Linked DNA regions of Lepisosteus oculatus. The protein of the gene in region 1 binds, or shares a complex with, the protein of each later gene. Links are inferred from orthologs where the notes say so. Each region holds a gene or a part of one and is shown on either strand. Other genes may lie near its edges.

Region 1 (6,930 bases):
TATAACTATTCAACTTTTAACAGTATTTTACTTAGAAGAACATGAATACTAACCTTAAATAAGAGTTTTACTCTGTCTTATATATAGTGCAACAGACAAATTAGTGCTTTTCAATTCTGTTCTTGAAAAGTATGCACAGCGCACTTAAACAAGAAACAAAACCTGAAGTTTCCCCTGAGTGACACAATGACAACGCAAACACTATCAAAAGGTTTACGTTCACAAGAGAAATCAAACTCATGCTGCTCGTATGTGACGTGACAAAGCTTTGAAAGCCATTAATTACCTTCAAACTTCCTGACCTGTAAGTGAATACCGGCTTTGCAGTCAAAACTGAGAACTATCTGACTATCTATGTACTAGCGTCCAGACAGAAACCTTCTTCCTGATACAATATTCCACTCTTTACATGGTGACGCAAAAGGTCTGTCACCTGCTGCTGATGGATATACACTGTGTGATGTATGTGCTATAGATTACTTTTTATACACAGCTTGACTCTCCAGAGACTTTTGTGATAAACTTATTCAAAACTGAACCAAGCCAGATGGTGTGATTTCATGCATCCCTACAGGGTCATGAATGGGAACTGGTATAAAATAATCAGATATCAAATGGCTTATTTCTAAAAATATTACACTGTACATAAGTAAAATTGCTCTTTACCTTTGTCTTTTTTCTTATGAGTTCTTGCTGGAGAGCCCCCGTGGCTTCTAACTGGGGGAGAAGGAGATGAGGAATAATGACGTGCTCTTCTGGGGACAGTTTTCTGTCTCGATGGGGAAAGGTCGGGAGAGTGGTGACGTCTCTTCCGCTGGGGTGAAAGGTCGGGAGAGTCGTGGCGACCTTTCCGCTGGGGTGAAAGGTCGGGAGAGTGGTGACGTCTCTTTCGCTGGGGTGAAAGGTCAGGAGAGTCGTGGCGACCTTTCCACTGGGGTGAAAGGTCGGGAGAGTCGTGGCGACCTTTCCGCTGGGGTGAAAGGTCAGGAGAGTCGTGGCGACCTTTCCGCTGGGGTGAAAGGTCGGGAGAGTCGTGGCGACCTTTCTGCTGGGGTGAAAGGTCGGGAGAGTCGTGGCGACCTTTCTGCTGGGGTGAAAGGTCGGGAGAGTCGTGGCGACCTTTCTGCTGGGGTGAAAGGTCGGGAGAGTCATGACGGCTCCTTTTCACAGAGGAAAAATCTGGAGAATCATGACGACCTTTTCTTGATGTCTCTTCTATTCTCTTTTGAGAGGCAGCTCCTGAACTGAAATGGACAATTACACAGATGAACTCAAATGTTACACACTTGTTTTAATGTATTCTGTTTTATGATCTGTAATGTTTTAGAAATATCCACATTTTAAGCACCAAAGAAACTCAATGACAGCTCATTATTGTCTCTTATACTCCAATACTGAAAGCCTGGACAAACAAATGCTCCTAACAGTGTTGCTTCTTGGGGGGCATTCTTCATTAATAATTTAACAGTGGAAGTGCCTCTTGTGAGTCAAAATGATCTCATAGCATTTGAGCTGCTTTAACAGACATGCATCGAACTGTACCACATACAAAGCCGAGACAATCATAAGAAAAATTAAAATACATTAAACATCAGTTCTGTACCTTGCTGATGAACGGACACCCTGGAACTTGTCTGAATCCTGAAAATCTTCATTAGTACCTAGAAGACCAAACATAATAATATTTGATAAAACTGCTTAGAAACTCAAATCAAATATTATGTATGCACCTAGACAATTACAGTACAACTTTATAGATGCTAAATCATCAGAATGCTAGCCCCAAAAGAGCAGGTAAGCATCGGTTACTCTTACCTCCCAAAGTTTTCCACCGCTTGCTGTTCCTGAACTCCTCCAGTCTCTTCACCTCCTCCGGACGCTCATCTATCACTTCTGCCACCTACAAGAGGAAGACGACAACAGAGCACGCAGAAGGAACAGCTTTTGTGCAAAGATTCTCCACAAGGTTCAGGACAGCAGAAATGCACCTAAACATAGTTTAAGCCAATGCATTTGTAAATGAATGTAAACTATAAAGGAATTCCTACCACTGGAGCCTCTTCTTCCTCCTCGTAGTCGTCCTTCTCTTCTGACTTTATCAGCTGCTTCCAGTCCACATCGTCATCCACTATTCTCATCCTGCAAGCAGCAGCAACAACAGGAGGGCAAAACGTAAAAAAAACAGCAGGAATGCTCTTTTTTGTAATCACCGACATGTAGCCTGCCACAAATAAAAACGCTTTAAAAAAAGAGTCATAGCTGTTGGTCTGTTGTGGATAAACAGGCGTGATCTATCAACTCTCCCTTGAACAGTATTGCGATAAATCGTCAAAAGCTCTTCTATGGACATAAACGTGTCTCTTAAAAGATTCCTAGAAATCCTTCTCAGTTCTCATTCAGGAAGCACTTTTTCCCCAATGAAAGGTGTCCAACAGGATCTTCTCTGCCGGACTCCTGAAGTTTTTAGAGAAAGACTGGTCCTACAATACCAGAGGAGCAGGAAAACATGTCCGACACAGAGATTAGCAGAGATCCTTTGCAGCTGAAAACACTGGACATGTTAGACCCAAATTACCTTGCGACCAATAATCCTCTTTCGAGTTTCCCACAACAGAACGATCAGACCCCACAGCACAGCTTCAAAAATACATTTCTCAAGACTTCCACAACCTGGGTTATTGAGAATATAACCTCACATATACAGTACTGTAGCGTTTTATGCGGCTCGTAGAGGTAAAATCAAGACAACGCTCTCGATTGCGCTCATACACTCCACTCCAGTATCTCAGTAAGTTTAGTCCGGCCTACAACTTTCAGTCACTTTCTGCATTTCTAATGTGCCTGATTGAGTCACTGGTTCCTGAAACATACCCCTTTGCTGTAGACTGCGGTCTTTTCTTCTTGGCTTTCTTGTTTTTTGACGTTTTGCCATCTCCATCTCCGGATAAATAGCGTTTGAGATACTCGGCTTTGGAGACAGAAGCAAGCGCACTGGAAGCGGCCATTACTGCTCGTGAAAACAATCCGGGCTGACGGAGAGCCGGATGGGGTCAAAACAGTAAACGCGAAAAAATAAACAGCGAAAAGCGGAATTACGAATAAGAGAAAAAGTAAAGGATAAATACTTCAAAGCAGCCACAACAAAACATAGGTATTATTATTAGTTTATTTGTAGTTGTATCTTAGAACATGCATTCTGAAAAAGTCTGCAGTGTTAAATCAAACTCACTTTTAGTGTTTTTATCCAATACTCGGACACAGTACTAGGTTATTACAATAATGTCTCACCCACAGAACTGAAACATAAATTGAAAGCTGTTTGTTTCTTTCATTGCTATACTTATTGCTCTAATGGAAACGTTGCCTAATCAAATATTTAAGACTAAAAACCAAAAAAGGAATATGATTAATAACATTCCAGGTATTCATAAAATTAGGCAGTGATACGCTTTTTTTTGCCACCAGTTATTGAGCTATATTTATTTTTTTAAATGTAATATTGATGTCACTCGTTTCAGAATGTTCATTTCTTACTCGTTCTAAACCGATGACATTGCTGCCTTGTGAAATAAAAAATAATATTTATTACTGAAGTATTAAATGTCCTAAAGTGTTTGGGGATGGACAATTTAATACACAGCTGTAAAAGCTATAAAACCTGCTGTTCTGTAGCATTTCAACGAGATTGCCCATCTGGGATGCATGTCTATTCTTCTCGAGGAGAGAGGAATATGAGGGGAGCTCATACAAGTATTCAAAATTCTCCAAGCTGCCGAAGGAGTTTTCTCAAGGGACTCCAAAACAAACAGTGAAACACAAGCCACAGGGACACAAGTGAAAACTCCAAGAACAGAAAACAGGAGAACTTGACGCCGATACTCTGGTTTCCTTCAAGAAATGGCTGGATGAGATTCTTCCAGATCAATTAACTAATAACTACCAAATGGGCTAATCACAGGGCATGGCCACCTCTTGTTTTAACAGTAACTGTTCTTATAATCTTATACTGTATTCTAATTAGTAATGACTAAATACTTAATGTTGCGTTTCCTCACAGAGTTGAACAGGTTGCTAAAATCAATGCTAAACAATCAGGGAAATCTGGTGTACAGATAAAAATATCTTTCTATTTGAACTCACATGTAAGTCTAAAACAAAGAACAAAACCTGGAGATTATCTTTACACCGTTAATAACCTACAGTATAATTCCTAATCAGAAACGGAAAACTATAAATATATTTTTATAGCGATCAGCCAACCCCACTGTTCAAAGTACAAAGTTGTACGGGTTGCTAAAATCAATGCTAAATGATCAGGGAAATCTGGTGTTCAGATGAAAATATCTTTCTGTTTAGCTGTTTAACTTTACTGTATGTCAGACTGTTGGTCTGTGTCTCTGTCTTCTCTGTCTATTGGAAGTGTATAAATCTAAGCAATGTCTTGAATTGTCAGCTCAAGTGAACAGCACAGACGGTATACAGTACTGTACTATTTAGAGGTCCGTGTGATCCAGGATGATTTTGAGGATATTAGACAAAGAATAAATTAACTCCATTTACTGTACATTGTTTTTGCATGTTCAGAAACTCATTTTTCTTTGGTGGAAAGGTTTCAGTTTCATTTCTTTGCTGTGACCAAGAGTACTGCTAAGGGTGTGGTTTTCTAATGGGGATTCCAACAATGTGGGCCTTGATATAATCTGTACAACAGGATGAATCACTCTGGATTGGAGCCATGCTGCTATCGTACTCCTGGGGAGGAAGCTGCACTCCGATTGCAGTATTAATGAAGACTCTCCAGCTTGTCATTGTAAATGAAAATGTGCTCTCAGCTGACTCATCTTGTTAAATAAGGTTTTATTTGATAAAAAAACGATTCTTCACTTATATCAGGTTGAATGTACTTTATATGATATGGAACAAGTAATAGGTTTATTCCATGCTGAAAAGAGAAGAGAGAAAACAGCAGCATGGAACAAACCTGTTACTTGTTCCTTTGCAGACTACGCATGCTGACGCAGCCCCCCACCTGGACTACCTGATATGCTACTTTATACTGTAACTGTGCCATTAGGTGTTGTCTACTACTGCAGTGTAGCACTTTTACACTTTTCATTTCATACAGAAATTCTGTAATTGTTATGGTGTTGACGTTTTCCTTAAAGCTTATCATTTTTGGCAGCCTTTACTTCTTCATCTATTTCTTTCTTTTCATTTTTAAAATGATATCTGGTTTTATTATGTATTCTGTATACTATACTTGTTTTTACTGTACAATGTATGAAAAGTGTCTTGAAAAGGCTCTATATAACAATAAAATAAATTGATGATAAAAATGTTTTAATTATTCAATAAGGATAAAATATACTGCTTTAATGAAGAACATAATTTGTTTTCTCTATTAATAACGAAATACCCAGAAATTTGGAAATCATGAGTGTCATGGATGAGATTGAATAAACTGTAATTGTATTTTTTTATTTGTTTTTATTTTGAAAGCCAATGTTTATATAATCTTGTTTTAACTTAATTTAGTCCAGATCTTTGGGCACAGTTAGGAGTATCGGTTTATAAAGTAAAATGGTTTCAGTTTCATTTCTTGACTGACACAAAGTTTTTTTTGTGGGGGTGTTTATTTTAATTTATAAGTACAGTGTGCATCTTATCACCAGTAAACATCTACATTAAACATTATTTACCTGACAAAGGTTTTTAAAATACTGTACTTAAAATCTTTCAAATGTATGTTAAGGTTTAATTGGATACCTAAACTACATCATATTATTCTCTCTCACATTGTGTTAATATATTTGGAAATAAAAGTTAAATCTAAGCAGAGGAAGGAAAACATGTAAAAGCCATTATCAAAAAGCAAAAGCAAAAAAAGTTCTTGAGAAGGTTATTGGCGATAAAAGATGAGTGTGTTCGTTTTTTCTTAAGGAAATGTGGCATTTTTCATATTCACATACACTTCTAAAACCTGCTTTTCTTTATCCCTCGATTGGTTTTGAGGACAGGAGTTTTATATATTAATACCATGTGTCCATACAGAAACTTTGAGACGTTTTTTTCTATAGAACAAAAAACTGTGTAACATCTTTATGTTCCTAATTTTAAATATCTGAAAGCAAAATATAGAAATTTAAGGTAAACGCAACTAACATTCTTCATGGGCAAATATTTTGAATATTTTTTGTAGGGAGGTATTTAAACACCCTTTCTTGGAAAATGACTTAACTGTTGGACTTTTTACAGTAAGACGACTCCACTGACTTCTTCCTCAAACATTTGATGGTCTTTTCATCTAGTAATTTTTCACTGAATTTCAAATGATGATAGTTTAAGTATTTTTAAAAGAATAAACAAATTATTTATTTCCATAAATAAGACTTTATTCAGAAGTTACATACAATTTTATAAATATCCCAATCTATACTACTTGATATAAATTAACATCTATTGATATCTAATATTCATGCTTTTATATATATATACACTGAAGTAGTTCACGTAGGGAGCTGCGTCTGCATATGTGGGCTGCAGAGGAAAAAGTACAGGTTTATTCCAGCTGAAAAGAGAAGAAAAGAAACATGTTTCGGCTGTGGAGCTTTGACCCACGAATATTATATATCAAGACTTTCTGAACAAGTTTTAATGTGATCATGTGTTAAAAATGGACTAAACTGTTTATTGGCAAGTCAGGTGTAAAAGGGTAACGAATATGATTAAGAATATTTTTCTGGAATTGTTTTTATGGAATTAACAGTAGCCCCCTCTGTTTGTTCACATTTTCTTTAGCAGTTTTGTGGGTATGGAGAGGGTGCACTGCTCGTTCATAATTTTAAATAAAACTTTGTTCGAGGAAAACAAGCGTCTAACGAGTCTGGTCATGAACATCTTCTTTTCCAGCCTCTATTGCTGTCAGAGCCT
Region 2 (7,797 bases), on another chromosome or scaffold:
TCTAACCATTCCTTGTGGTTCATTAAAAAATACTCAATCACAAATTCTAAGAAAGTGCAATATGCACAATTTTATTACATCAGTGCTGCTCCTGAAGCACAATGTTAGACAACCACGTTAAGTTTTCGATACATAAACAAAAACAGCTTTTTCTTCTTTGGTAGGAAATTACAGGCTCCATTTCAAGCTTCCTGCCTACCAAAGAATCTATCACAGATCACAGGCTTTTTATATGGCGTAAAAAAAGTGACATTTCTAATTACTATGTAAAAATCAGTGACCCAGAATCAAGAATTTCTTCACAATGTTTTATTCTCTCATTTCTCCATCTTCTTCTTCTTCCTCAACACCTCTGATGTATAGGACGTTATTGCACCTGTACAAGACAAGAACATTTCTGCTCATCAGGAAATCCACAAAGGTCACAAATTCCCCAACTACTCCAATACAAAATCGATGCATTGTAACGTATTCTGACATGCTTTAGCCGATTATAATACAGCAGACACAGAATTCACTGAAATCTTCCTTCCTTGAATCAAAACAAAGAAGAGTGGTACATGTTGTTAAATGGCATGACAACACATTTAGGATCAAACAATTAGTGTGATTCCATAGCCAATTCTTTAATTCTCAATTACAATTATTATGGAAGACTTACTATACACCATGAAATTCAAAAGACATGCATTATCAATTTCATTTGATTTCATCATCATCATGCTTCAATGATTTTAACAATATCCAGTCAAATAAAGCTTTATTTAACCACATACGTCAACTCAAAAAATTTTAAGTTAACTTTTTTTTTTAAGTTAAAAACTAGCACTCTTGTGCTCTGCTTAGTTGCCTACCTCACAAGCACTTCTCCTAAATGACCGGCCAGTGCTCCGTCAACATACTCTTCAGTGTTGGCAAGCTGTGAAAAGAAATAGGAGCACAAACATGACTTATCAATCTCTACAAATGCGTTTCCTACAAAGTTAAAATTTACAGGATAGACAAAAGTAATGTGTAAAACTCACTACACCCAGAACACATACTGTATAAAGGATCATTAAGGATCACATATAATCATTCAACATGGTCATTTGTTCCCCCCCAATCTAAATGAGAAAAGTAACCATAAGGACAAACTCAACCCTGTGCTTTCGATCATCAGTTTCATTGGCATGAATGTTTAAGAAACTCTTCAGTGCTGGTCTGCCAAAAATGTAGTCAAATGTAAAAAATGAAATCCTAATACCCATCATAGACATGTGAGCAGCCATGTTCCACCACGCATCCATGTTTACATACCTGCATATTCATGTACCCATCGACTGAGACCAAATATCCTTTGTACTCCATCCCCCACTTGAGCCTCACCATCACTGGTTTTCCTGTCAGGCCATTGAGGAAGGGCTTGGGGTTCAGAGGCAAACTCTACAAAGACAGCAAGCACCATTAACCCTTACCAAGTGAAGGGAGATAAAACAAATATACCCTTTTCTCACAGACAATTGGACAACATCTTGCCTATGTCTTAAAAAAATACAGCTACAAAAAAAAGTAAACGAAGTATCCAGTGAATGATAATGAAACTGTATGTACGCCCTCACAAAAGACAAATTAGCCTTTTCAGACATGTCGTTGTGGCCTGAATTTTCAGTGAACAAAAAACAATAAATGCAATATTTATATCTATTCAATATTCTGTTATTGTTAAATGACAAGTTGTGCGTGCACTGCAATATTAGGTATAGAAAAATCAGTTTAACATTTTTTCAAGGATAATGAGTAAGATACATTTCTAGAATTATTATTCCAATACAATGACTCAGGAGTTCAAAAATGATTTATGTGTGGTGAAACTGTGGTGAAACAGCATGAACTGAAAAAACTGAAGGTTTTTCATTCACACTGATTTTTCCCCCAATTTTTTAGTGGCACACAATTCACATCAGGTTCTGGGGGAGATGAATTCTGGTCAGTGTCCATCTCGATTCTGCAGTCTAATGTCTTTTGGCATTACTCTGCAGTCCAGCCTGACCAGAAATCCAGATTCAGAGATGTTTTGGCTAGTCAGACTATCAAATCCCAACAAGGTCATTAGAGAGCACAACCTGCTGTGAGTGAGGGACGAGGGATGGACAGTATTACATGCATTTCCTCTACATGATAGCCTGTTCTGGTCTACCTGGATGATGTTATAATAAGTCTTTAAGCACACAAGTCAATTGAGAATGAATCCTCCTGCGCACTGGCGACTCGAACCTAACCCATTTATAGGTTAGGTCCGCTTTTGGAATAATCTGAGTGAAATAACTTGCTTTAAAGTACAACAACAGCCACACTTAATAATTGAATCCCTGGACCTGGTCTGGAGTCAGAAGCCTAAACCATTACTACAACTCCACACATACATAACTATTTAATTGCACAAGAAAATAGACATTCTGATTAGATTAAAAGCATCCTTCAACCATCCTTAACAATATACTCTGGATTTGGGCGGTCGTACTTGTTTTAAAAAAGTTCCACGCTTCCTGAACTTTCTCCTATTAAGAATTGCACGAAGACTGTATTTTCACGTCTTGTCTTCTGCCCGGAATACTCGGAAGATCATCTATTCTGTTTCTCAATTTTGTTAAACTCGACATAGTGAATTCCAGTACCTTCACTGCCTAAACATATCGTACATCTTATGCAAAATCAATATCGAAAATGTAGAACTGTCGGAGAACTGATTTCTCAACGCATTTAAAAGTACTTTCTGATCCAGTACCGAGGCCTAGTAATTCATCAGAACAAATGAAAGGAAATATTTATGTAGCCAGCGCTAACATATCAGATTGAAACCATACATCAAGCGCAAACTCGCACATCACAATTAAAATCGAGATCTCTCAAACACACTCACCATTTTTATCGTTCAATAATAAAACCTTTGTCTTGTTAGTCTCATACAAAACACCGCACGCCGCACCGTCCAAAGTAGGAAGTACTTCCTTACCCCGACCTCTCACCTTTGAACCCGAGGGGGAAGTGTACTTTAATTGGATACATTCTAGACCTTTTAATTTGATTGGCTACGGGGTGTATTGCGCTTCTCAGTGCGGGAAAATAGCTGTGTGAAGAGGTTGATATATGAACAGTATTATGGTTGTCTCCAATAATGTTTTAGAAATGCACGATGGTATCCATGATCATTGTCTAACTTACATTAATGTTAATTAACATGCAAGCATTGTGGTCCTAGAAGGCCGCACGGTACAATTATTGAGGTTAAACAAGTGCGTAAACGAGGTATCATGCTTACATCAAATATGTAATATATTGTCTCATGCCCGAACGCTGACTGCATATGCTGCTTCCCATTATCAGGAGTAAAACGTCCGTCCCGAAATCTTAGAGCCGCATCCCCGCAATATACACCACGACTGTAATATTGTAGCAAGCGGGTTTGCTAGAGCAGCAACCATAGACGGTCACTACCGACAGAAACCTCGGCGAAACGGAAAAAAGACTGTACCGCCGGTCTAAATTGAGTGATATGACACGCATCATACAAATATGTGTTATATACGTATGACAGAAGAGAACAGATATTGTAGATATTGTAATTGACGATTGGGGTACTTCGTGGTTAAGCTCTGTGTCGTTGGTAACAATTGGCTGGCAGCAAATAAGGGAAGTTTCTGTGAGAACCCACTGAGCGTTTCGAAAAAAAGTTCGAAACATTAAGAATCAAATTGGAGTATATTTGTTATTTTATTGTAAAAATAAATTTCTGTAACTCTGATTCAACGGCTCATCCCAATGAGGGCACCTCCATAGCGCCCTCTATCCCCATAGAGTACTGAAGGGAATTGCTTTAGAAGTTTTGGTCGAAATAGAAGAGTTGCCGCGTAATGTATTAATCCGGGGTTCCCGTGGGTATGCGCCCTCGCCGCTGCCGCCTCAGGTCGGCCCCCCACCAGGAGGGTCCTGGCCTGGCCGGAGAGCCTGCCCCGATGGAGGTCCTTGGCCCACACGGAGAGGCTAGAGGAGGAGCCCACGGAGCAGCCTGGAGGGGCGGTTTGGAGTCGGCGGGACACTCGACTCTTCAGCTGGGGGCAATGTAGCGCCACGCAGGGCGCTTTAGCCATGTGCACGCAAGGTGGGTGTGTTAGTGAAGGTGCAGCGCTGTAACCCCTGTCCCTGTGTGTGTACCTTTCCCCGGTTTGAGTTAATAAATGTGTTGTTCAACCCCATTCCCCGAGTCCCATGCCTGCTCCATTCCTTGCCGAACCCGAATCCATTACAATATATGTTTCATTAGAATTATATTTGGTAATTATGGCCATGCACATGCTTTGCTTGAATATTGTGACCGGATATTTTATGTCGACCTTATGACTACAGCCTTCTTTCATTTTGTAATGTATATTCAGACTACGAGAGGGACAGTAAAAGATGCAGAAAGTTACAGAAACATAAAAGCTTTTACTAAAAAGTAAAACAACGCCAAACCAAAAGTCCCCAAAAAGCTTGTTGTCTAAAAAGTATAATATAAGTTGTATTAGAAATTTACTTTCGAAATTTAATTTTCTTTAGGAAATGTTTGTGCTCTAGAAAAAAAGTCTAAGGATTAATTAATACTATAAAATGTTTTTTTTTCAAGAATCTTCTATTTTATGTCATATTAAGACAAAATATTCTGTCTTTTTACAACAATTTGTATAAAATTAGACGTATTTGTTGCTTGGCTTTAAAAACACGTTTTTTAATGGGGGATTCGGGTTTAATTAGAACTGTCAAAATAATCCCAAACTTGCTGCTATCATAAATTACACAATGATCTCGTCCTCTCCCCAAAACATTCTTGTTCTTTCTTGCTTCTCTGTTTTTTTCTAATTTCTCGTTTAGCAACACAGTTAAATATAAATTTATTACCTATATTGGATGTTTTTAGAACACTTGCTTTAATTTCACAATGCTGTTTTGAAACCGTTTTCACTTTGACAATGTGGTGTAAATATTTTTAGAACATATCACAGAATGCCTTTATTCGAAAGATCAAATAAAGCGACTATTACATTTTTAGGTGTGAAATTTAAATATTCTCAATAATTAGTCATGACCACTTTAAGGTTATCCGTAAATGAGAAGTAGCCATAAAATATTATTCACTGGCTAACCCTCGGGGGTCGAGGATAATTGTCTTCAATGAACGATAAAGCCTTTGCTGGCCGGCCGAGCAGGATGTCTCGGGAGATAATCAGGGCACGTATCGCGCATAATCATGAGGATAGAAAACATCGTCTGTAATGAATAAAGTGTAGATGCTTTCAGTAAGTGACCAGATGGTGGCACTATCTACTAGCCTTCACACTTTGTAGCTCTGCTCATCCAAAGAGTTGAATTAACGACGTGTTCTTCTGGAGAACCTCCACGTTTCCACTGGTTTTACAGGAGCGTTTCAGTTACCAACTGATTAAAACCCTAAAAGCAGGCGATTCAACTTCTTATCCGAAGAATTATTTAGTTAAAATCCGTGATGGAATTAAAACCACAGGGCTCTATGTCCAAGGACTGAAGCTGTCAGTCTAGAAAGTCAAGAATAATATCGGCTGTATAACCCAAGAGCTCACCCAACTGTTTCTTGAAGAATCTCAAGGTACTGACTTCAAGAACATGAACTGCCAGCTTTGTGCAAGGAGTTGCCCCCAGTTCTCCGTGCTAAAACACACTTCTGCATAACTTTAAAATGTTCCTTAGGGTCAGAGTTGCGGTGCTGAGCATAAAGTAATTATATTAGGCTCACCCTGCCCATACCTTTGAAGATTTGTAATGGTGATGTGCAGTTCTCTAATCATTTCTGTTAATCACTGTTCAAGACTGAAGAGAAAAGTTACAGCTCAAAATAATTTTTCTGCTGTGGTAAGAAATGTTTCCCTTGTGATAGACTGGCATCCTGTCCAGGGTGTATCCCACCCAGACTGGCATCCTGTCCAGCTGTATCCCACCTTGCGCCTGTTGCTTGCCAGGATCAGCTCCGGCTCCCCCACAACCCTAAAATGGATACAGCTGTTCGAAAATGGATGGTGGATAAAAAAATATTTTTTTTTATCCATCCATTATTTATCCACACACCTGAAGAAGGCTCCATGGCTGAAACATTGTGTTTTCTTTCTTCTCTTTTCAGCATATAATAAACCTATTGCTTGTTCCTAAAAAAAAAATATTTTACTCCAGGTAGGTTAATTGAGTTCATGTGCACTATATAAAGCAGGAAATTCAAATGTAACACGAACCCCATCAGAGATGTATGTTTTTGGCCCCTACCCCCACAGTACAGCTCTGAAATTTGTCTGTAAAAATATTTATCAACCAACTGTACATCTGGAGATTTTCTTACAGACATTACTTTTCTTATTAGAGGAAATGGCACATGAGAACAGATGCTACAACTCAGCTAACTACCTCCTTGATAAGTAAGGAAAGCATCTATGTAAAAAATGCACTGTGACGAAAAAGAATGGTACCTCTCTGGCGTCCGTAGCAAAAAAAACAGCTTCGTTTGGCTGTAGTCTAAAGTTTATATAAATCTAACAGGGTATAAAAGGAGCACTCATTTTTTCTCAGATGATAAGTTTTACGCAGTCTTATAAGGAAGGATGAATAGGTTTAGTTAGACTATCATCATCAGTAAGATTTCCAGGCACATCTGGCAGAGCGAGAGGAACTGTAACTACTGTAGACACGGACCTGATTTTAGCCACCCAGTTTGGAACAGCCAATTCCATCTTTGCTCACACAGGCTCTTCCAGCCTGCCCACGCATTACACCATTCATCTTTGAGCACGCTGCAGTGAGGAGCAGGAGGCCCAGTGCTCATGGGAGGAATGGCTGGCCTTGATGATGTCAGAGAGCTGGCAGACCTCAGTGTCACGGGAGCCGGGCCAGACTCCCGTGAAATGCGTTGTTAAAGACCCTATGCGTGACGGAATACTCCGGAGTTCATTGATCCAAGGGTGTCACCCAGCTGTTTCTTGAAACAAGCCGGGGTTTCAGCTTTAACAGCATGACTGGTTAGCTTGTTCCAGTCTCCCACAGCTCTTTGGGTAAAGACGTGCCTCCTGTTCTACCTTTTAAGTGCACTTTTTCTTGTTTTCCATGTGTGCCCTCCACCTCGCATTTAATCGTTCATCGTTCGCTATGGCCGACAAGGAAGGGCAAAAGACAAAGCTGTCAAAGACAGAGGCACAGAGGAATCTGTGAGGAGACGCTGCGGCCTGCGTGAAAATGTATTCCTTCTGGAAAAAGAGGTCGGTGGAGCTGGTACCAGAGAGGTGTGGTAACAAGATTGTGGCGGAAGATTGTGTGAAATATTCTGTCTGGTCGGGTGCAGCCTCCTGTTCAGTTCCAATGAAGGGCATGATTCTGCTTGTGCGTGTCTGGCACTGGCAGACTGGCAGCTGGCAGACTGGCAGCTGGCATGCGAAGTAGCAGTTTCCTCATGTTCCAGTATAACGCACGGGCAGCCTCCCTACTATGGGAGCCAGTGAACCATAGTGAGGTGATCGTGGAGTAATAATTTAAGTGGGTGTGGAGAGTTCAGTGTCCTACATATCTCCCTGCTTAGCTCAGCAAAGAGTGGGATTGAACGGGAAATATTTGGTCAAATTATAGAAAAAATAATAATTAAACAGCCCACAAATATTGAATCAGCTGGTCTTGTAGCACATTGCTGCATCCTGATTTATTATCAGAAAGGAATCTTGAAACCCAGGATTTTTTTTAGAACTTGTATCAAGGTATTTTTCCAGTATG
Region 3 (7,104 bases), on another chromosome or scaffold:
CGGTGATGAGGGGGTTCCTCAGCACCACGATGACCGAATCACCCCGCAGGAACATCTTGGAAATGTAGCGGTCCTTGTTAACGGGCTTGGACTTCTTCTTTCCCTTGCCGCTCTTCGGAACCTCGGTCCACATCTCCTTCACGTTCTCCAGCACCATGTTGCAGTGCCTGCGAGGGGGGAGAGGAGAGACGGGGGTCAGTGCGGATGAGGCGCTCTCCCGGGGGCTTCGGAGATGCTGGTCCCTCCACCCCCCCGGACGCCAGGAGAACACGAGTCTGGTTTCAGTGTCCATCATGCGGGCCTGGTCGCGTGCGGTGTGACCTTGCAAACCAGCAGGAGCACGTTGGTAAGCTGATAAGTAATGTCCACATGAGACGCTCTCCTCACGCCAGCTACAGGCCTTGGGACAAATTCCCCTTTCTCCAAAGAAAAAGGATCAAATTACAATAATTTCTCAGTGGGGAATATCAATCTTTTCCAGTTTGTTGTTGACCAAATAATCTTAATCCAATGTACACTTACAACACACTGAGGACTGGAGGATGATTTTGTTCCAGTTAATAAACTCAGACCCATCTCCTCTGGTATCAGCCCACCTGAGCTCTTCCTCAGCATCAACAACTCATAAGCATTCAGGTGTTTGGATTTTAAGCAACTGGACAATGAGGACTTATTCCTAACGTGCTTTATAACAACAAAAAATAAACCATAAAATAAAATATATACCATATAGTTAATTCCAGCAACAGGCATGCAATAGTTTGGTAGTAAAATTGTGGAGGATTTGGTTTGCTAAATACAGCACAACACCCTGAGAGGTTTGAAGAGTCAGAATTTATTAAGCTCTGGAATTGTCACCACCTGACTTAGATTAACGAGTCAATTAGGTTCAATTCACGGTTTTATTTTTCCAATCTGTTAAATTCAGCAAGTAAATAGTGACTGCACTGAAATCAGCAGAAATATGTCGAGTTTAAGTTTGTTCGCTGCAGAGGTTTTGTTAACTTATTTTCACTTAGAAAATGAACAAAACACGTAATGTGGCCTGGGGCGCCCAGATGTTTGCATACAACCGTATAAGGTTAAACTTACAGCAGGGTATAAATGCAAGCAAGGAGGGGGTATTTCTCCTCCAGGGCTAGGAGCCACTGAGTTACATCAGCGAGGGAAATAAAAGACACGACCGTCTTCCAAGGGAAAGGTTATTACCACAGCTGCCTGTGACTCCCTGAACTAGGGCAGAAAATAACAACAGGGTGCCTTCTTATTTCAGCAACAGGCGCGATGGGACACAGGCACCTCTGCCTGGGAGTGCCAGGAGCCCAAGGAGGTCTGTTATCTATGCTATCAAGCCAGCAGTCAATAATAACCATCCTGACTGATTCGGCATCACAGAATAAATGGAAAATTTGTCCAGAACGCCGGGGAAACACCCTGGGATCTTTAATGACCACAGAGAGTCAGGACCTCGGTTTTATTCATCTGAAGGATGGCGCCTTTTTTACAGTATAGTGTCCCTGTCACTATACTGGGGCATTAGGACCCACATGGACCGCAGGGTGAGCGCCCCCTACTGGTCCAACCTCTTCCGGCAGTAAACAGTTTTTCCCCGGAGTCTCCCATCCAGGTACTGACCAGGATGACACTGCTGAGCTTCAGCGGGCTGCCAGCGGGGAGCTGCAGGGTGATAGAGCTGCTGGCCATCCTAGTTTAAATCAGCCATCAGTTACACAAAAGGGCTGGCGGCTGCCTCCCGGAGGAGCCGGGATGGGGGGGTGTGTGCGGGACGGGGCGGCGGCGGCCCGTACCTGTCGAAGGCCTTAACGCGGCCCAGCAGCTTCTTGTTGTTGCGGCAGTTGATGAGCACCTGCGTGTTGTTTTTGACCGACTGGGTGAGCACGGACAGGGGCCCGGTGTTGAACTCCTCCTCCTCGCGCTTCTGCAGCTCCTCGGGGGTCATCTCCGACTTGGGCTTGTTCAGCAGACTCCTGCCCGCGGGAGAGAGAGAGGGAGAGATCAGAGGGGCACTGCGCTGCACTTAACGGCCAGGCAGAGAGACAGCAAGACCGGCACTGTAAAAAAGCTCCAGAGGGGATCTGGGCCAGCGTGTGAGTTTAACTCTCGCCTGGGTCGGCACATTCCACACATCCCTGACTTCTCTCTGGACTTCAACCTCAGATTACCGCTCCTCTGGATACCTCCTCACTTGCCCTCTTATTATTCTCTTCACAAACCAGTTGGTCCATAGTCATCCTCCTTTCCTCTTCCTCCCTCACACACGAGGAAGGCTCCGCAAGCGAACTGTTGGGATTTTCTATTTTCCAGATTGGGACTTCTTTACTCCGTTTTGCAAGAAAAAGGGTATGCATACCGGTATTAAAGTTTGTTCGATATGTGTTTGTTCACTACTAGTTACCAAACGGCATCTTCCGTGACACTGTAGAAACCTGCAGCCGAATATACAGCCCAGGAGAGAGTAATTATGAGGATCGCTCCCAGCCAATTAAAGTCAAACTGTTATTTAAAGTTTACGTTTGCGAAACGACTACCGTGAACACCCGTATTTCTATACAACCGTGCTCCGAGCTCAGCAGTCTCGGCCCCGTTGCTAAATGCAGGAAACACACGACCGTAGCGCGTAGGTCAATTCACAGCCGAGGAAATGCAAGACTGTGGGCATTACATGATAAGAAATTAAAAAGAAAACACCCCACGCGGGATTTGAGAACCACGATGCTTGACCGAAAACGCGCTGCAAGCTTTAACAAAGGCGCCGGCCGCCTCCATGGGCTTCAAACACGGCGACGCGGTTCACATTAACATCCGTCCCCGACTGAATTTACAACAAACTACTGCTTACTTACATGTTTTTTACTTGGCGATGTTAATTATAAGACGAAATGTTTACTGTGTTGAAAATAATTCGCCAAAAAACAACCCCTCTTCCCACCAGCGCAAGTCCACAGAACTACCGTCCGCTCCTTCCACTTTCTACAAGCGCTTCCGGGTTACCACGCAGGCGCTCTGCACACTTCCGTTCGGAGGCCGATCTCTCGCGAGCGCACGGTGCCCGTCTCTTCGCGCACGGACTTGGCAGGAGCCGTGAGTGTCACCCAGAGCGTGTCATCCACAGCAACGTTTAAAGACTGTAGGCTTGCAAAACTTTGTTAGTCATCTTAGATTAATAATGTGAATGTTAAATTTAAGGAGCTTGTTATCATGTTATGCTTTTCAATATGTAATATCGAAAAATATTTATATTTAATGTTGTTAATAATAGGTAAATATCACATTCAAAAACAAAAAGGACTAATGCTACCCCTCCTCTAATGCTAACAAGCCCAGAATGCCATATCACTTAAATTACAATAAGTACGTGAAAAATAACTCCGGCAACATATTGTTCTGTGTTTTTTCCACTTGACTTTTTTGGGTACCCTTTCTCCTTATATGTGTTATTTGATGTTCATTAAAACTTTGAAAAAATGTTTTTCTTTAATGATGTTCATTAAAACAATGAAAAACACACATGTTTAGGGAGACACTTAAATAAAATATATTTTGTCCAATTTTTTACTAAACTAGTAACCTTTCTACTGTTTAATAAGTATTTTGTAATGAAGTGTGTGATGAATTCACTGTCTATGGTGGTACAGTCAGTATTGCTCCCTCACAGTGCTGGGCCCCAGGGTTCAGTTCCAGACCTGGGGTACTGTCTGTGTGGAGTTTGCAAGGGTAAACTCCAGGTGATCCCGTTTCTTCCCACAGCCCAAGGACACGTTGGTAGTTAATTGGATTCTGGGAAAATCAAGGCTGGTACGATTTTGTCTGTGTGGCTCAGTGATGGACTGGCATCCTGTCCAGGGTGTTCCCTGCCTAGTGCTACTGCTTCCTGGTCCCAACTGATCCTGAATTGGATGAAGCTGTCAGAAAACGGATGAACAGAAAAATAAGTATCAGGGCTGTACACAGTGCACAGATTAGTTTTGATAAAAATAACTATAGCTTCCTTGCAACATCAATAATAAATGCATTTGTTTCCTATTTTGTGATATGTTCAACAATTTCCAAAACACTCCATTTTATGGTAGGCAAGACAACTTCCAAATGAAACAAAAGCAGTACACTGCAAGACATATAAACCGTAATTGTTAACTCAAACAACAGCACACAGAGATGGCTCTTTAGGAAACACTTTTTTGGTGTTTCCATTTCCTCTCAGCTCTCAGAGATGTTCAGGCTGGATGAGTTGTTGTCTGTAACTGTCCCTGTGTGCGCGTGTGGGCGAGTGGGTGTGTGATATCTGAGAATGTCTGATCTTCTGCATGTGGTCTCATCTTGCATAATACAATTGATGAAATGTCAAAACCCACTCAGCGTTCATAAAATGTATTCAGTTCTGATCACCACACAGAACAAAAGAACGTTATCATTATCACAGTGCAGAATGAGCTCAGTGAAGAGTGACTAGAATGATTCCTAGTCTCAAGGGATTGTCCTAGACGTGTTCAAGGAACTAAATCCCTTCAGTCTAGAGCACAGGAAAATCAGATGCAATTGGTGTTTAAAATACTAGAAGATCTAAAGATAGGGTCAAATAGATTAGAATAATCCAGAATAAGAAACTCTTCTTCAGCCAGAGTGATGCAGATTGCTGAGGCCCAGACTCAGAGGAGACTTCATAAGAGGAGGAGCCCAGAGTTTCTGATGGACAGCTCAAGACCGTGCAAGAGGTCCAGAGGGGAGAAGGTAGAACAGAACAGCGCCCCTCCTTCCTACTGCGCAGGCGAGGGAGGGAGGGGCGGACTGGAGCGGGAGGGGGCGAGGCCGCACACACAGGTGTCCCTTTGTTGGGAGCCGGAGAGGAGAGGGAGATGGGTATCTGTGCTGGCTCAGGAGCCGGAGAATGCCCTGCCATTGTAAAGGCGCAGGCAGAGGCCGCTGGGGATTGGCTTACTGGCACGAGACAGCCCGGCGCCTGGGGGGCTGCCCAGCGCCTCCCCTCCCCTCCCTCGCTCACCCTCTTCAAACGCGGAGCTCGTCTCCGACTGCGCGCCTCTCCGGTCTCCCCGTGCTGCCCAGAGCCATCGCAAGAGCTACCGCCTGCAAGATCCCATTGAACAGCACAGGAGACAAAAAACCACCGCGCGACCACAGGAGCAGCTGACTGGCCTGGTAGAGTGGACATCAAAAAAGAGCCACATGAGAGCTCTCCGAGCCCTTCGGCAGCCTGCTGACTGCTCAAGGGGTGTGTGACACTGATCCCAGGAAGCTCAGTGTCTCCCACTCTTCCCATCACCCCTTGCAGGCCTCCAGTGTATGCAGAGCCTCCATGCTGTCCGTAAGAATTCCGCTGGCCCGGAATGAATCACATCCTTCATTCAGCCAGCAGGCAAATATTACAAACCCGAAGCGCCGGGAACGTTGCGTCGCATTTGCAGGTCGTGTGGCACCCTGCCAGCGGCTGTGGAGCTGGCAACGTGTCAAAATCCCACCAGTGCATTATTATCGAACAAACGTGTTGAGAAACTCAAAGCTCCGTACAATAGCCCAGGTCAACACAGCACGGCGACAAAGGAAAGGAGTAAAGCAGCACAGACTGATCCAGTGAGACCAGGAGTGCAGACGCTGAGGGGAGGTGATGGGTGTTTAAGCCACCAGTGGCAGTGAATTCCACAGGTGCAGAGCGTCCTGTGTGGGGTTTGCGATGTGCAGCAGACAGCAGCTTTAGTGTTTGCCTTCGTCTCTTGATACAGCAACCTCAGAAAAATGGCAGCCTTGTTTCCATACGGCTTTCAGACCAAAAAAAAGGAATTCCCATTTCTGAGCGATCCATCACACAGCTTTCCAGGAGCAGAGTCCTTCCCCCAGGTTTTGCGTCAAACACACTGTTAGACCCTCATGTCCATATGACAGCTGGGCAGCACACTCAAGCCTCCTTCTCCTTCCCGCAGGGGAGAGAGATCACAGTGAAGCCTGAAGAATCGGGGTGAAGGTGTGGCAGAGCAAGGTGGAAAACCGTGCCAATTGGCCACATCTGTCATTTTACTGGGGCTCCAGTTCTCCCTTGTAGGGCATCTTCTCCCCGACAGCGCCACCCACTGGTTCTCCTGCAGTCTCTGAATCCGCTCCCGGAGCAGGTTGAGCTTCTCCAGCACATTACTCATGGAGGCTTCTGATAATGTGGGTGTGTTTATGAGCAGATTAACTTACGTAAAGGCAGGTTAAGAAGTACCGAGCTATTAAACCTGTTTTTATCTTCATTGCTGACAGCTATTCAGGCAAACTCATGACCCCTGATTTAGGTATCTAGTGCCAGCAGCGGAAACGCAGTCTCTCTCTTCTCCTGTGCTGGAGGTCTGAACCAGCGGCACGCTGCGCCAGCCTGGCCTGGCCCTGTCCTGTCCTGTCCTGTCCTGGCTCTCTCCAGGCCCCATGGGCTGGTCTGTCCTGTCCTTTGGGAGAACAGTGGGCACAACAGATGCTCTCAGGCGCCGTCACAGCAATCCGGCTGCAGACCAGTCAGATGATGATTTACAGTCTCCCACATCAGGACAGTGTTGAGTAATTAGCTCTGTACGACAGCAGCTCATTATTTATCACCATGATTAATTGTCGACCAGCTCAAATTACTGCAGCCTCGGGACTTTGTGGGTTTAGCTCACCCACAACCTCTCTCTCCCTCTCTCTTTCATTCTCCATTTCCCATTCACACTCTCTCTCTCTCAGTGCTTTGTGAATCTCCTTCTCTTCTATCATTTATAGAAACCTCTCAGCCCTGGGCAGACAGTGCAGGTGGTTGTAAAATTCTGCCGATGCACAGTGTGTCAATAACCATGTTTTTCTTCCTCCCACTAGAATCCATTCTCGTTCGATTCTGACAGATCAGAGAGCCACATTGACAACATCAGAACTTTGCTGTGAGTCGGAGAGCTCTCTGAGCTGCTCACCAGCAGATAAAGCAATGAGCTGCAGGCAGTAACTGACAGCCTGTTGACTGGGTGCCAAGTCTGTCCTCAGCAGCGTCTAGCTTCCTGTGCTTCTCTTCAGTGCTGTTTGCAAATCTTTCTGACAAAAAAAGGTGAGAAAAAGTTCATCCTAAAC
Region 4 (7,240 bases), on another chromosome or scaffold:
CCTGCCCGCCTGCGTATTCTCTCCGCCGTGCACCTCGGTCCACCTCACTGCCTCGTGGAAGTACTGCTCTTTAACCCCTATGCCATACTCCAGCTCTCGGTTCGGTAAGAACAGAGTTCATTACATTTTCTCTGTGTGATGCACTACCATTTTTTAATGAATATTAGCTACCCTCTCCAGCCACATCTTCCAAAACATACCTGACCATCCCTGAAGAGGCGTTCCCCATGGATGTGTCTTTGGGTTTGATAAACTTCTGGTAATTATTTATTCCTCGGTAGATTTTGTCATCTTCTTTCCCTGACAGTTCCTAATGGAAACAAACGGGTTTTCTTTGACAGCTTGTCAAGTACTTCCTTGGAAAAGAAAAACTTATGTCTTTTTATTTTAGATCCTGTTTTGATTGGAGAAATTTGTTTTTGTTGCTAAACAATTATTTGCTTTAGAAAATTGCTCATTTTTAGTAGCATAAATATTATATTAATATGTACATTTGTTTGCATTTGATAGCCAGTTGAAACTGAAGTGAACAGAATAACAGGTAAGGACTAAATAGCTCTAAAAGATAGGCTGTACCAGGAGAGCCAATTTTCTGATTTTGTGAACCAAGAATAGAAATTTTCTCTTCTCCAATGACCACTGGGATGATTACCTCCTGGATTTTCTGGCTGCGCTCAAAGATGGACTGAGCATCCTTGTCTTTTTCCGTGTCTAGCTCGTAGATCGCTGTAGCACCCATGTCCTCTGGCCCTTCTGGTTTCTGCAACATTGGGGACAAAAACAGGAAGAGATCAAATGAGTCCCTAAAGACACTGGTTGAACCTCAGCCTTAAGGAAGAGTCGGTGCTAATCTGTGGAGCACTGATGTCACTGACAGCCTGCAGGTACCCAGCAGATCCATAGTGTCGCTGTTCTAGTACCTCCTCTTTAAGAATCCCAGTCATTGATGGATAATGACATTTCCAGCCTGGTTCTAAATATTCAAGCGAATCCCATGGTTTCAGTAACATAATCTCACCCCAAAGCACCAAAGGTTTACCTGTTGATGATCAATGGAATGAAAGATATCAAAACAAGGGTTATCTGGTCTTTGGTGGACATTTTAGTATAGTCAGGAAATTTACTACACATAGTCTTTAACAGAGGGGTATTCAGGTTTTTGTATATCTCGCAGATGACTCACAGCAGATTTGGTGGATTTGTAAGCTATCGTCATCTTCTGATCCTCCTTTTCACCTTCGCTGTCACTGGAGGCTACTTTCTCTTTCTCCGCCTTCTTGGTCTGAAAGAGCAAGAGGAAAAGGACAGCACTCAGAACAGATCTGAGAACACGCCAGAGCTCTCCGTGCAGGAGTCTGTGTGTTCGTGTCACAGCCGGCAGATCAAAGGTAAAGGATGAGCTTCCCACTCTGTATACCAGTAATATTTCAGAGCTATACCACTTCTTGTAAATGAGTGGACTTTCACGTGATTTACTGTATCAGCCTTAGTTAAAACTGGGGTAATTCAACCAAGCTACAGAACAGGACCACTGCTAAGGCCACTGCTGCACAACAGTTTGATACTTTTCAGGTTTTACCATTGCAGGCTCTACTGCCTGTACTGATAAAAAGAACAATATTAAATTCACACAGCTGTCTATGGAGGATAGGATATAAGTTTTTTTTTATTCACAATGAGGAAATTTAAAAAATGCAACTATGCATGTTTTTTTATACTGTTCCATTAAATAATACTTTAACATTTGCCACTTTTTATATGATTAAAAAAAAACATGTAACAATATGCTAAATGGACAGACATGATTTAAGCCAGATTTTTTCCTGGTGTGTGTACCAAAAGAGCATGCAAATTGAAATCAGCCTAAATCTCACTCTGAGATTTAATAAATCTTTGTCTTTGATAAATGATCCATATGGCATCAAATATTTTAAAATATAAAGTATGATTAACCAGCATGTGCAAACCTCTAATACCTGAAATGGAAACACCATACGGAGGGGAATTAGTCTATAAAACCGCTTTCTTTTTCCTTTAATTAAAATAAAAATGAATAGCATGAAACCTACAGAGTTCCTTTTTTCATTTTATCAGCAATGCTCATAGGCAGTGTGTCAGTGGTATCAAAGGCACAGGAAATAGTTCTACTGCATTTCCTAACATTCCCATTCCAAACCTGGAATCTTACCCCCTGGATCATGGGATTGGCAATAGTGGCCTTCTTCTCCCGTCGTATCACTGCATGTCCTCCTTCATCACTGCTGCTACCTGGGGCAGGACGGGGCAAATACAGAGGCATGACTGCATTTAAACAGGCAGCTTTAACAGAGATAACACAGACGTAACACATGACCAGGCACCATTATCGCAGGGCAGCCTGACAGACTAGCAGCAGGGTAGACTCACATAATGTGATAGATTAAGGTTATGGATACCATGTCCTGTATGATGTTAAACTGCCTGAGTCTACACTAGTATCATGTAACCAATAATCGTCCAACAGATTGTTAACTTTCTGATAGTTTATCTCCTTATGTATTATGAAAAACTGAAAAGTTTGTCACGTTCTCTAAACATTTTCTTGTCATTTCAATCTTCTTCGCTAAGCCGATACAGTGGAGTTTGAACGTAATGAGGAAATCATTCCCATTCTAAAAAAAATGTATATGCAACTGAGCCTTAAAACGTGCAAAGCTTTTACAGACTGTTGTAACTGGCTCCAATCTTCTCAGACTGACACTGGGCTGCAGCAGCTACAAACACGAGTATGTTTGCTACTACGTCGATGTGTTTCTTCACAAAGAGTGGACAAACACCATGCTCACAGGTGAACGAGAAGGACGTGTGACGATTAACCCACAGAAACAGAACAACGCAGTTACCTTTCTCGCTGTCGCTGGCTTTTCGCTTCCGAACAGAGACTTTTTTGTTCGTTTTTTTAAAGAAAAACGTACAGGTAGCTTTAGACTCCTCACTTTCAGCCATTTTTATTTCTCAGGCCTCTATCCCCCCTCGACTGTGCGCAGGTTCAGTAAATATAACAGCGACATCTAGTGACAGCCCATCAAAGCCCTCCCAAAGCTGCCCCGGGCAAGAGCAAGCGTTCTGATCCGTGGAGAACAGAGAGTAGAGGAACTCATTACACGTGTACGTGTGCACTGGACTTATTATTCGCGCTGATCTCTCGGGACATACACGATACAACAGACAACACCATACAATGTAAGACAGTATATTACAAGATAGTAAATAATACAACCAGAACTATAAATATGTACTAACGAAAGAAAAAACCGTGCATAGTGCAGGCGTGCATTGAGTTTGAGACATTGCAGTTAGGTGTTGAGGATGTGTACTGCAGGAGGGTAGAAGTTGTTCTTAGGTCTAGTGGGCTGAGCTTTAGCTGTACAGTACCGCTTGACAGAGCGCAGGGGGGAGGACAGCCTGTGGTCGGGATGGTTGGGATCCTGAATGATGGATTGGGCTTGATTGCGACAGCGGATGGTGTGAATCTCCCCGTATGATGGTAAATCACATCCTGTAATCCCCTGTGCTGTTGCCACAACCTTTTGTCATGAAAAAGTTACAAACCTCTCATCCTGCCCATCTGACCCCTTTGGTAGCATGTAGCTAATTGATCAGAGGATCTCATCCAGACAGCTCTTGAAAGAAGTCAGGGATTCAGCTCCAACAGTCAAGGCCGGTTATCTTTGTCTTAAAGAAGAGCGTCCTGTGGTCATATTTAAATGCACTTCAAGAAGGGTGAACGGATTTTATAGCCCAAAATTGTCTGGTATTTATTCAGGATAAAAGTTCCTTAAATGTAAAATTTACACTTTGGATTTAGACATTTTGTGTTTTGCAATTGCACTTAAAGGACATGCGAAGAGATAGCAGAAATGTTTTAAAAAACATGAAATGTTTATCCGTCCATCTGTCTGCTAACCGTTTACCAATACAAGCTTGCAGGGAAGCCAGAGTCCATCTCATTAAGTAATGGGTCCAAGGCAGGGGGTACACCCTTGACGGCACAACAGTCCATCTTAGAGCACACAGACTCAAACACACACACACACCAGGGACAATTTTCCCAGAAGCCAATTAACACACAAGTGTGTCTTTGGACAGTGGGAGAAAACCGGAGCACCCAGAGATCAGACCACGTAAACACAGGGAGAAGATACACACTCCACCCCAGGAACTGAACCCAGGAGCCCTGCACTACAAGACAGCAATGCTGACCACTGTGCCCATGCACTGTTTCCCAACTTTGTTATTCCGAACGCAGGAGGAAAACGAGTGGTTTCAGATGAGATAAATTAGCATTTGCCAGCAACGGTACAAACCATAGCATTTATTAAATGTTTATATTCACCCTTTTGTGTGCATGCTTTAACAGGCTTTTTAATGGCAATGAAAAGGAAGTAAAATGCAGTTAATATAAACAAGCAGCAATAGTTACGCTTGTGGCAGTGCAAAAAAAAAACAGCCAAGAGTGACAGGACGACCACATGAGAGCGGAAACCACAGCTGAGTGATGGGAAATCAGATGGGTTTTCACTTGATGAGCTCAATTTGGTCCACATGCGGTTGTAAATAGTCAGGAGATGAATAGAGGCAGTAAATCTTGGATGTAAACCACACTAAAACAAGGGAACTGTTTCTTTTCGCCTGTGGCTCCGGTTCATGGCTCTCCGGGTGACACCGAGCAGGGCTGTCACACTGTCTTGACAAATGTCCACCAGCTACGGCTTTCGTGGGAGAATGGACCAGCCTTTAAATCAGCCGTGCTAGTAAATGCAGGCACATCCCTGAAAGGGGGCCATTGTGCTTTTAGCGGTAAAAAAAAAAAATCACTCTCATTTGACTTTTCTTTGCACTGTGACAAATGAAGGATGTCTTTGATCTCTGGAACAGAGGGAGAAAAGCCGAAAACAGAACAAGTAGTTCCCTGGATAGCGAGAGTGCAGATATTGCACAGAGCCGTCTCTTCAGTGGAGCGGAGTTTCTCTCGCGCACTTGTGCAGGTCAGCACTATCCAGAAAGAGAGCTGGCGTGCCATCAGCCCTCCTGGGGCTCAGCGTACACAGGTTCAATTGGGTCTGACATTCTTCAGTCCTCATTAAAACACTTGGTCCTTGGAACGGATCGCCTCTTTTAGGGATGCAAGGAGTCACAGCACAGTTCAGTGAAGGCTTGGGATTAGTGTAGTTTGTGACAAAAACATCTCCCACAGTGTCCAGCAGATTCCAGCAGAGTTGCGGTGATTTCTAACCATGGTCCTTCGATGTTATTAACATGAATGGGGGTTTATGAGTGACCATTACCAATCGTATGGGAATCAGAGCAGATATTTCCACTTATGGCACAGGGGCTATTCCCAGTGTTTAACCCCGCCTTTCAGTTACTCTTGAGGTGTCACGGGGAACTCTTCTTTCTGATATGTCATATGCAGTAGGTATCTGTTTAAAACACACTCGAGCCAGATCAGAAGTAATAAGCCCAGGACAGAGTCAGATTTGACATTATGTAGAACTGTTATTTTTAGTTGAAATATAGTTTTTGATCCTGCTCAATAATTGAAAAAGAAAAGTCTAACATTATTTTAGGAAAAAATATTCAAAAAAATATTCCAAGCCTTTGTAGCCAATTTAGATCCCTGCCTGATTCTGGGTGCCCACTGAATGTATTAACCCATAAGAGTCTCACACAAGGACCTCTTTTGCCCCTACAACACAGACCTGTGACATGTCCAAATTATATTGCTGTAAGAAACTGAATGTTTCAGCTATTCGTGTATATTGTATATGTTTACTGAAAAAAGTGGATGGAGGAATTTTGAGTGACAATACATAACTTATTCAGACATTAACGAGTTGGAGTTGGGTGACTTCAGGTGACAAAGCTGCTCAGTGGTGGGCATTGCTACTCCTTAGTGCTGGTGCCCTGGGTCCAGTTTTGGACCCGGTGTGCTCTGTGTGGAGCGTGTATGTTCTCCTTGTGTCTGCAGGGGTTTCCTCTGGGTGCTCCAGTTTCCTCCCACAGTACAAGAACATACCGGTAGGTTACTGGGTTTGGGGGAAAAGTGTAGCTGCTGTGAATGTTTGTGTGTGCCTGCCCTGCGATGGACTGGCGTCCAGGGTTGCTGGCCAGGATAGGCTCTGGCTCCCCTGCAACCCTGAAGTGGTTGAAGTTGTTAGAAAAAGGTTGGAGCAGGGTGAAGATAGTAATTATTTTATTAGTATCCATACAACATGTGCAAGTGCGTGTAATTCCATGAGGAGCTGTCTGATCCCCTTTACCTCCTGCCCCCCCCTCCCCAAACCGCCACCTCTGCTCTTCTTCCAGGCCGGAGGCTCCCCTCTCTCACAAAGGCCCATTGTGAGCTGACGCGCGGGGGGACCTTTTCGGCGGAGAAGGGCCCTTCCTCCTTTCTCAGTCTTTTGATTCTTTTGTCAGGCTGCTGACTGACCAGAGAAAGGAGAACAGAGGCGTATCCCAAAGAGGAATCCCCCTTTCTATCAGACCCCCCCTGCCACCCATCTACGGCCCTGGGCATTGAATCAAGAAACCCTCAATTCGGTGCCAAGTCACGAACGGTTTGGGCTGAGCCTCTCTCCCCTCCCCCCTTCACAAAGCAGCATACTCGCAGTGCTTGTGAAACTGTTGTACTCTTTTCACACTTGTGGGAACATCAATGACATCAGCAAGACAGTAATGAGTTTCAAGGCTAATCCAGCTCCTATGACTTGTTCCCAGAATTCAATCCTAAATAGATCTCTAAGAATCTTGAGCGACACAACTGACTGGCCATCTGGGCTTTGCAGACACTGATCTTTCACACAAAGTGCTAGCTCACACTGGTTGAACAGATTTGTACCTGTCCTGAATTTTTTTAATGCAGGGTGGGGTGTATGTTCACTTTGTGTGTGTGTGGAGCTGAGATGCTGCCTGCTTTTAGTACCAATGGAGAAGGTCAATATGATCGTGGTTAGTAGATAGCAAAACTCTGTCCAGATTGTGGATGATATACTGTACTGATGTAAAAGAATGTTGTTTGCCTTTCTAGGTCTTAAAAAAGTCTCAGTACCACAGAAAAAAATGCATTAAAAATAATTCTTGTCAATTATACATGCCCATACTCCAGTACATCTATTAGAATCTATGATACCTCCAAAACGTGAAGGATTGTTATTATCTGTCCATCAACTTTCTAATCACTTCATTCCAATTCAGGATC

Evidence for each region.
Region 2: bud13 (region 1) and snrpf share a complex: the UniProt entries of both Homo sapiens proteins name them as parts of the minor spliceosome. The link is inferred for Lepisosteus oculatus from reciprocal best matches to the Homo sapiens genes BUD13 and SNRPF.
Region 3: bud13 (region 1) and snrpd2 share a complex: the UniProt entries of both Homo sapiens proteins name them as parts of the minor spliceosome. The link is inferred for Lepisosteus oculatus from reciprocal best matches to the Homo sapiens genes BUD13 and SNRPD2.
Region 4: bud13 (region 1) and rnf113a share a complex: the UniProt entries of both Homo sapiens proteins name them as parts of the minor spliceosome. The link is inferred for Lepisosteus oculatus from reciprocal best matches to the Homo sapiens genes BUD13 and RNF113A.

The regions. Positions count from the first base shown.
Region 1 is NC_090718.1:5,139,030-5,145,959, forward strand, and holds the start of bud13 (BUD13 homolog), read right to left. Parts: upstream 3,019-6,930; 5' UTR 3,006-3,018; coding exon 2,872-3,005; intron 2,140-2,871; coding exon 2,049-2,139; intron 1,901-2,048; coding exon 1,816-1,900; intron 1,662-1,815; coding exon 1,604-1,661; intron 1,245-1,603; coding exon 667-1,244; intron 1-666. UniProt on the Homo sapiens protein: Involved in pre-mRNA splicing as component of the activated spliceosome. As a component of the minor spliceosome, involved in the splicing of U12-type introns in pre-mRNAs.
Region 2 is NC_090702.1:41,356,310-41,364,106, reverse strand, and holds snrpf (small nuclear ribonucleoprotein F), read right to left. Parts: upstream 3,013-7,797; 5' UTR 2,906-3,012; coding exon 2,903-2,905; intron 1,426-2,902; coding exon 1,300-1,425; intron 920-1,299; coding exon 855-919; intron 377-854; coding exon 310-376; 3' UTR 45-309; downstream 1-44. UniProt on the Homo sapiens protein: Plays a role in pre-mRNA splicing as a core component of the spliceosomal U1, U2, U4 and U5 small nuclear ribonucleoproteins (snRNPs), the building blocks of the spliceosome.
Region 3 is NC_090698.1:1,335,273-1,342,376, forward strand, and holds the start of snrpd2 (small nuclear ribonucleoprotein Sm D2), read right to left. Parts: upstream 3,013-7,104; 5' UTR 2,867-3,012; coding exon 2,865-2,866; intron 1,989-2,864; coding exon 1,809-1,988; intron 168-1,808; coding exon 1-167. UniProt on the Homo sapiens protein: Plays a role in pre-mRNA splicing as a core component of the spliceosomal U1, U2, U4 and U5 small nuclear ribonucleoproteins (snRNPs), the building blocks of the spliceosome.
Region 4 is NC_090723.1:1,931,862-1,939,101, forward strand, and holds the start of rnf113a (E3 ubiquitin-protein ligase RNF113A), read right to left. Parts: upstream 3,009-7,240; 5' UTR 2,986-3,008; coding exon 2,883-2,985; intron 2,269-2,882; coding exon 2,189-2,268; intron 1,283-2,188; coding exon 1,184-1,282; intron 761-1,183; coding exon 653-760; intron 311-652; coding exon 201-310; intron 1-200. UniProt on the Homo sapiens protein: Required for pre-mRNA splicing as component of the spliceosome. As a component of the minor spliceosome, involved in the splicing of U12-type introns in pre-mRNAs. E3 ubiquitin-protein ligase that catalyzes the transfer of ubiquitin onto target proteins.